Nothobranchius furzeri: one gene and its partner. The protein of the gene in region 2 binds, or shares a complex with, the protein of the main gene of each other region. Links are inferred from orthologs where the notes say so. Each region holds a gene or a part of one and is shown on either strand. Other genes may lie near its edges.

Evidence for each region.
Region 1: wrap53 (region 2) and gar1 share a complex: the UniProt entries of both Homo sapiens proteins name them as parts of the telomerase holoenzyme complex. The link is inferred for Nothobranchius furzeri from reciprocal best matches to the Homo sapiens genes WRAP53 and GAR1.

Annotation. Positions count from the first base shown.
Region 1 is NC_091741.1:77,351,083-77,355,004, forward strand, and holds the start of gar1 (H/ACA ribonucleoprotein complex subunit 1), read left to right. Parts: upstream 1-1,556; 5' UTR 1,557-2,704; coding exon 2,705-2,939; intron 2,940-3,212; coding exon 3,213-3,367; intron 3,368-3,476; coding exon 3,477-3,536; intron 3,537-3,621; coding exon 3,622-3,745; intron 3,746-3,888; coding exon 3,889-3,922. UniProt on the Homo sapiens protein: Required for ribosome biogenesis and telomere maintenance. Part of the H/ACA small nucleolar ribonucleoprotein (H/ACA snoRNP) complex, which catalyzes pseudouridylation of rRNA.
Region 2 is NC_091742.1:83,817,979-83,821,900, forward strand, and holds the start of wrap53 (telomerase Cajal body protein 1), read right to left. Parts: upstream 2,655-3,922; 5' UTR 2,443-2,654; intron 1,920-2,442; exon of another isoform or gene 1,812-1,919; 5' UTR 1,772-1,811; coding exon 1,531-1,771; intron 1,445-1,530; coding exon 1,273-1,444; intron 1-1,272. UniProt on the Homo sapiens protein: RNA chaperone that plays a key role in telomere maintenance and RNA localization to Cajal bodies. Specifically recognizes and binds the Cajal body box (CAB box) present in both small Cajal body RNAs (scaRNAs) and telomerase RNA template component (TERC).

The DNA of each region.
Region 1 (3,922 bases), on a different chromosome or scaffold from region 2:
AAAGCATAAACTAGGCTTTACAAGCAAGGCACTCATTCCTACTTGAGACCACTGCAAATGTATAAAAAATATGAGTAAAACTGACCTTAAACAAACTGGTTGAAAAAAAAGAAAAGAAATTGGTTTGGCCCAGGTGGGAATAAAGAGAAAAGGTGTGATAACTAGGGTTGTCACGGTATGAAAATTTAACCTCACGGTTATTGTGACCAAAATTATCACGGTTTTCGGTATTATCGCGGTATTTTTTAAACGGTGTTGCATATGTTCAGAAAGCATTGATAGTCCTGTTCTACACAAACTGAAATAGTTCTGTAAAGGTTTAACAATGTTTATTAAACCTAAAATAACACAAAGCCTTAGCAAAAGTGCAACTTTTCAGAAGTAAAGAACAAATAGCTTATTTTTCTGGAACATGTTACAGTAGTCAGTGCAGGTTTAAATTATACAAATCCAAACATTCGAAACATAAACAATATGTAAACAAATCAAAGAAACACCACTTGTTTTCTCATATACTTGTTTTCTTCATTATCAAAATGAAAATCTAAAACTCCAGTCCACACTTGACTTGAGCACTGTACAAGTCAACCTTAAAAAAATATGTATTTAAAATAAATAGCCACTTTAAACAAATTACTAAAATAACTACTACACTATGTAATCAAATCCAAATGTTCAAGTATAAATGGCATTGAATAAGTAAACAAATCAATGACAAGGAACTAACTGTATATTTCTCTTCATCATCAACAAATAAGATGCTTCATCCAGCAACAGGTGTCCGTGACACGGTTTAAATGCTGGCAGAGGACGCTGCGGCTGCAGTATATAGTGACTCGTTGCATTCTCCCTCAACCAAAAGTCCTCACGTCATGCATTTAAGCTAAAATGCTAATGTTAACTTACCTTGCACTGGCTGTAGAGACGTGGGTGATGGTCACGCAGATGTGCCATTCGATTCGAAGTGTTGCTGCCTTTTGCAGACACTTGTTTCCTGCACGTTCTGCAAACGGGATAGCAGTCTTCTATTAACTGTCCCTCAGCATTTTTCAGAAATCCAAAATATGCCCATACTTCCGATTTAGTCTTCTTTGACGGCTGATGGATGTCCTGGGCGCTGCCGTCTCCTCCTTCGGCCATTATTTCAGCTTCAAAGTTTTGGTGCCGTTGCAAACTAAAAAGTGCGTGTGCGCGCCGCGGGAACTTCAGCTGAAGCGACGGTGGCTGGTAAGGGTCACCGCGCCGAAACCGCGGCCACGGTAAACCCACCGAGATAATATAGTTTTTTAAAAACTGGACGGTTATTTTTATTGTCAACTTTTTTACCGGGGTTTACCGCTATACCGGTTACCGTGACAACCCTAGTGATAACACAAAAGTAAATTTCTAATTTTGATAAGAAAATAACGTTTGAATTAAACACTCAATGTGACTTTTAAACAACAGCGTTGGTCTTAAAGAGCAAGTTACCCCCTACCAGATTCTTACTCAACTCCCACTTCCTGTTTGAAAAATGCAACAAATGCTGTTGCCTAGCAGACCGAGAGGGCGGAGCCGCTAACAAATACACACACACACAGGCTCACAACGACATTGTGACATCGTATGGTACCAGCTAATCAATTCAATTTAAAAATACTTTATTAATCCCAGAGGGAAATTAGAGTTTCAGTACACACAATTCTGAGATCAGACATGCATACATGGACACATGACAAGAATTGGTGACTGTGGTCATTTGCAACCCGAGTCGCGCTATCGTAATAGATCAAGAGGGTTAATATGAGGATAGAGTCAGGGGGAGGGAAAAAAGGCACTTCAGTTACCCTCAACACAGAGGGCAGCTTTGCAATGCAAAAAAAAAAAACCACCTCAGACAGATATGCACAGACTTTAGACATTACACAACACAAGTGTCCACTAGGTGGGGAGGTAGGGTTGGGACTCTCCTCACTTCAGTGCGTGCAGCCACATGGAGCAGCATTCATCACCTCCGCTTGGACAGGAGAGGGAGATAATGGGTTAGAGGGCACATTTGACTCCTAGATACGGTTCCACAACCTTCACCGGTCACAGTCCCGCCCAGGCTGGGATAGGGAGAATGTTTCCATAGCGACGGGCCGGCAGCATTCCACATTTCTTCTGTGAGGGGAGTATTCACTTCAGCCTCACAGGCTCCAAGGGCACCAGATTCAGATAAAAATTGTTTTGGGGACAGACAGATGATTTCCTCTCTTCCTTAGTGTTCTGTTGGTCTTCAACCCCTCTAGATCCAGCATTGGCATAATTAATCTAATGTTCTAGGGTACCTCTTAGCCAATAGAGATTTGGCAGATTTAAGTTCAAATGCAGTGCAGAGTTTTTACCTGACAACGGCACAACACTGACAGTTTTAGGCAGAAAATTAAAATTTTAACTAAAATCCACAAAAGTGCAAAACTATTGACTACACGTGTCTGCAGACCGATTAGATATGCATTTATATAGTTTCTAAAAAAAAAAAGTTGATTTGGGGGTGACTTGCTCTTTAAGCTGAGGATTTTATGTGATCACCAAAAATCCCAGCGACTAGAATTTATTTAATAAAGAATTTGAATTTAGCTGAAGAAATGTGAAAGAAAGTTTAAAAATGACACGACACCAAGGATAGACAAAGCTGACCGTCTTCAGCGTAATCGTTCCACGGTTCTGTTTTACCTTGGTGATGAAAGGCTGTAAAATGACCCACCGTGTGTGTGTTTTCCTGACACCTTCATTTACAGACTTGAGAAGAATGTCTTTCAGAGGAGGAGGCGGGCGGGGAGGTGGGCGAGGTGGTGGGAGAGGGGGAGGTTTTAACCGAGGTGGTGGATTCAGAGGTGGTGGAGGATTCGGACGAGGAGGTGGAAGAGGTGGTTTTAACAGGCAGCAGGACTACGGTCCTCCAGAGTACGTCGTCGGTAAGTAGACTGTTGTTCCTATTTGGCAGATTGAAGCAACATTCACACTGCATGTCTTAACGCTCCATTCCATTTTTGTTTGTGTGGTTGTTGAAATTGTGCCTCAAATGTGACACCAACACTCTTCAGTGTGAACGTAGCCTGTTTTCTTATAAAGCCTGTATCCACGGCTCAACAGACCAGTCAGAAAATGACTGGATTAGACTGCAGTTTGAATTTTAAAGGTATGTTTTTTTGTTTTCTGAAACTCATCGTTGTGTTTCTACTCCACAGCTGTTGGAGAATTCATGCATCCCTGTGAGGATGATATTGTATGCAAGTGTACAACAGAAGAAAGCAAAGTTCCCTATTTCAATGCCCCGGTGTACTTGGAAAACAAAGAGCAGATTGGAAAAGTGGATGAGATATTCGGCCAGCTCAGGGACTTTGTATCCTTTCTTGTGTGTTTTTTTGAGTCATCTGTGTAAAATGATTAAAACACTATTGGTTTTTTTTAAGCTTCCTGATAATTAAATTCCCTAACTAATGTGTGCGCAGTATTTTTCTGTAAAATTGTCTGAAAATTTGAAGGCATCGTCGTTCAAGAAAATGCAGAAGGTAACTGATGAGAACAAGAACGTTTTCAGATACTGAACTCGGATACTTCTGCAGGTTGTGATATTTGTTAAAATTGGGTTTTCAGTTTTACATAGACCCGATGAAGCTACTCCCATTGCAAAGATTCCTGCCTCGGCCCCCAGGAGAGAAAGGCCCGCCAAGAGGAGGAAGGGGAGGCGGCAGAGGTGGAGGAAGAGGCGGTCGTGGAGGTGAGTCATTTCAGATGTTTAGTCCTTTTTGGTCTTTTGCTTTAAAGTTTTTTAGGATGGTTTTTGTTTCTACTAAACCAATTTCCGGTTATTTGAACAGCTTGTAAAAGTGGTGTGATTTTTTTTGTTGTTGTTAATTTCAGGTGGTTTCCGGGGTGGCAGGGGTGGAGGATTTGG
Region 2 (3,922 bases):
TCTGAAATATTTTCTTGAACGACCAATTTAATTATTTCTCTCAGACATTTTGTGAGCTTTTTCCAGTCAAATGTTTTTATCTAACCTTTTGGGGTCTGCTGTAGGGCCCTGCAGCTATCGAATATTTTTGTAATCGAGTACTCTATCGAATATTTTATCGATTAATCGAGTACTCTAATAAATTACCCTTTTGCGTTTGTAAACCATTATATCAAACAGCATGTTATAAAATATGAAAGACCTCTTAAAATGAGCCCGCAATTGCCAGTTATTCTTCAAGTTTTATTCAAATTTAGTTTTCAAAACTTCAGCACTTCAACTGTAAACAAATGAGAGCGGCTGCGGCCCAAACAGAACCAGAACCGCTCACGGCGCATGCGCAAACATGGCTCGCCAGCTGTTTCCCTATTAACACCCGTCCGTTTTAATTTCTACACTTTTTTGTCTCACACAATAACAAGGATTGTCGAAAGCATGTTTGCCGTTGTTATGTCAAATTATACTGTTCACAAAACATTTATTTACTTTCTTTCGTTTTCCTCCGCCACTCATAAATACCCGTGTCCTCCTGCAGCAATCCTGAGGGACAACGGACATCAATAACAACACAATAAAAAGTCCGACGTGTTGTAAAAACTGCTATTTTTAGCACATTTTAAGACCGACGTGTTGCTACCAGACGCACGGTGTGAGCTGAAACTGAGTGCTACAAACGAAAAAGTCACAGTGTCTGCAGAATATATAGAAATACAGGCTAAAATGCATTATCTTGTAGAGGCTCCGAGTCCGCTTGCAGAAGTGACATTTACATGTGGATGTTTCCTGGTCAGGTGCTGCAGCATCGAGGATGTGGTGTTGTGGTAGGCTAAATCCATTTTACAGTTTTTAAACTAGAGTACGTTTTCCGCCTTACGACGTGAAAAATGGTCCCACACCTTTGACATTTTCTGTCTTTTTCGCACTCCACCGGGGTCCACGTTGTTCGCCATGGCTTAAAAGAAAGTTCAGTAGCGTCCGCTACTCGCGTGTGCATTCAGTGCAGTATGTATGTGCGTCACTTATTTCGGTCTGGGTGAAACATGACCCCGGGCGATTGCAAAGCCATGAATTAATTAAACATGAATGAAACGAAGCCTCGAGGCAGAGAATTTGACTCGAGGATTTTTGTACTCCAATTATTCGAGGTACTCGAGGAATCGTTTCAGCCCTAGTCTGCTGTATCGTTACCCTCGCTTTAAGAAAACAGAAAAATAAAACATTATTTGAACTCACTGCTGTCCTGCAGCAGGGCTGCCTACAGATTCATTCTCGTTGAGCGCCTCCTCCTCTTCTGGTTTTGTCTCAGTTTCCTCTGCATCATCAGGAGCTTTGGCTCCATTCAGATGACCTGCTGCCACGTCTTCCTCAGCCCCCTCTTCCTCCTCACACCTTTGTTCTATTGTTGCTTTAAACAGAACAGAAGAAACTATATAAATGATATATGTAAGTTTCAACTCTAATGTGTATAACTTCATATGAACAGGACTTTACTTTGTGCAGATGCAGCAGGGTTTTCTAACACACCACCTTGTGATGGGACCGCATCTTGTCCCAGCTCCTCCTCACTCCTCCTGGACCGTTTGGCAGAAGGTGGGAACCCCTCCTCTGAAGTCTCTCCGACTTCTACAGACTCACAACGTCTCAGTGAGGCCTGTGGAGGGGGCTCGCTGTCTGCTTCAGAGTCTGCACCCGCCAGGCCTCCACCCTCCCCACCTCCGGCTGAGTCAGACATGGCTGTGTCTCTGTCCTCCTCTGTCTGGTGTCTTTTTGTCCTGCTGGGAGAGTGCTGTCAGACGTGGGTGAGGTAGGTGCTACTAGGATAGTGCTTCTTCCTGCAGTGTGGACGATTGAGTCTGTCGGGGTTTGATGACATCACCCACCTGAGATAAACAGGTAACAGGATTGTGATTCCAGACCAGATTCTAGAAAACTGACCATTTCAAAATAAGAGCGTGAGAAAGGCTATTTTTTATACAATTATTTTAACTTTAAAAGACCAGCTAACATTTTAGAAACGTAATCTGTTACTATAGCAAAATGCATGGAAAGGTCGGGTTGAACGTATGTGAAGTTTGTGACGACTACAACTACTTAAATTTTAAGTTTTAACTTTTATACAAAGTTTCATCATTAGTGCACCTTAATTATAATAATTATAAAATTAAAGAGGCATAAACACGGATGTTCCAACACCTGTAGCTACTTTAACGAGCCTTCGTGTTCATTTTTAGCAAACCCGACAACTTGTTACAACAGCCGTCGTCTATTTAACTTCAAGTCCACAACATTCATGTAAATAAAGTAAAAACACCTTTGAGTCACGTTTTGGACCACTAACAGAGACCGCTACACTGTGTTTGCTCAGGTTAGCATTGACCGAGCTAACGGGTTGTTGCTACCTACCTGCGTTGTGCTTCGCCTGAGCGTTGATGCTTCGCTGTTTTCCACTCAGCGGTTTTTAATTTTAGACGAAAACAAATTCTACAAAACTAGACGAGGTCTCAGAGGTAGATAACTTAGTTGTCAGTTCAGCAGCTCATTGCGAGAAGTTGTAAACACCGTAGGCGGCCATGTGTCCTAAAGTATCGCGAGACTTCCGTTTTAGAACGTTGCTAGAGCAGGTTACATAATTAGTGGACTTCCTAAAGGAGAATGAATCATGTTTAGACTATATTCGCTTAAGAAAACGCTCAATTTAGTTGTTTTACGGATGTTAGGAACACCTAATGTGAATGTGATACGTTTTAATAAACTAAATGACATTCAAAAAATAAAATAAACAAGACAAAAAATCTGACTTTTTCCTCTAACATTTTTTTTCATACATTTTGATATGCAAATATTTCGCAAGAATTAAATCTTTAAATAAACAGTTCTGACAGATAAATGTGGTTTATTTAGTATTTATTTTGTTCTTCAAACATGAGTCAAACTATTTACACAGCTCTGTTGTTCTTCTCTGAAACAGTTTCATCAAATATAAAGTATGCTGTTATATCCAACAACAATTACAGACTTGTTAGAGAGGAGCTGAGCTGACCGGAGTAAAATTATCATCAAACCATTCTGCAAATTCATATCCACCCGTGCACCAATCAGTGAGTTGTGTTTGAACCAGAAACTAGTGAACGTGATAATAAAAGCCTTTGTAGTGCAGTAAAATAGAAAAGCAGACTGAGCAATGATTAAGCTCACATATTCAGCTTAAAAACAGGGGTTTGTAGGCAAATTAGACTTTATTGCATAGTTAAAAGCTTGTCCAAGATTTGTTTATAATCTCAAAGTGTCGCGGCGTACCAAAGTCTTGCTGGGATGAGTTTGACCTCCATGGGCATTTATTAGAAGGTTAATAGGTGGTAGAAACAGCCAATTGTGTGGCTATAAATGTCACAAAAACCTAATACGTGACCAAAAAACCCTTTTTTTAAAATGTAATTTGACAAACATAGTTCAGGCTTACACAATGGACTGGTTAACTCCTATTCAGTGCTATTGAAGATGTTCACCACCCAATTAATCTGTCAAAATTCATGTGATTAATATATAAAGCTTGTCCTTATAGGACAATATATGCATCTCTTACCAAATCTTCTGGAGTGTTAAACAAAAAGGAAACTTATTTACCCCAACTGCCTTTTTAACTAGGATCCTAATTAGACACCAATTTGCCCCGATCAGCTCAGCTCCACTGCACAGACTCCAGCTCTTTTTGAGCCTGCACCATCAAAAATCACCTAAATCTGAACAAATTCACTCTCCATTTTAGTGAAAACAAAAGCCTACCACCAGCAAAAAGATTTAAAAAAAAAAGAAAGTCAACACTTCCTGCTCTGTGTGTGTAGAACTAAAGGTGAGTGGATGGATGAGGTTTATGCATCGCAGC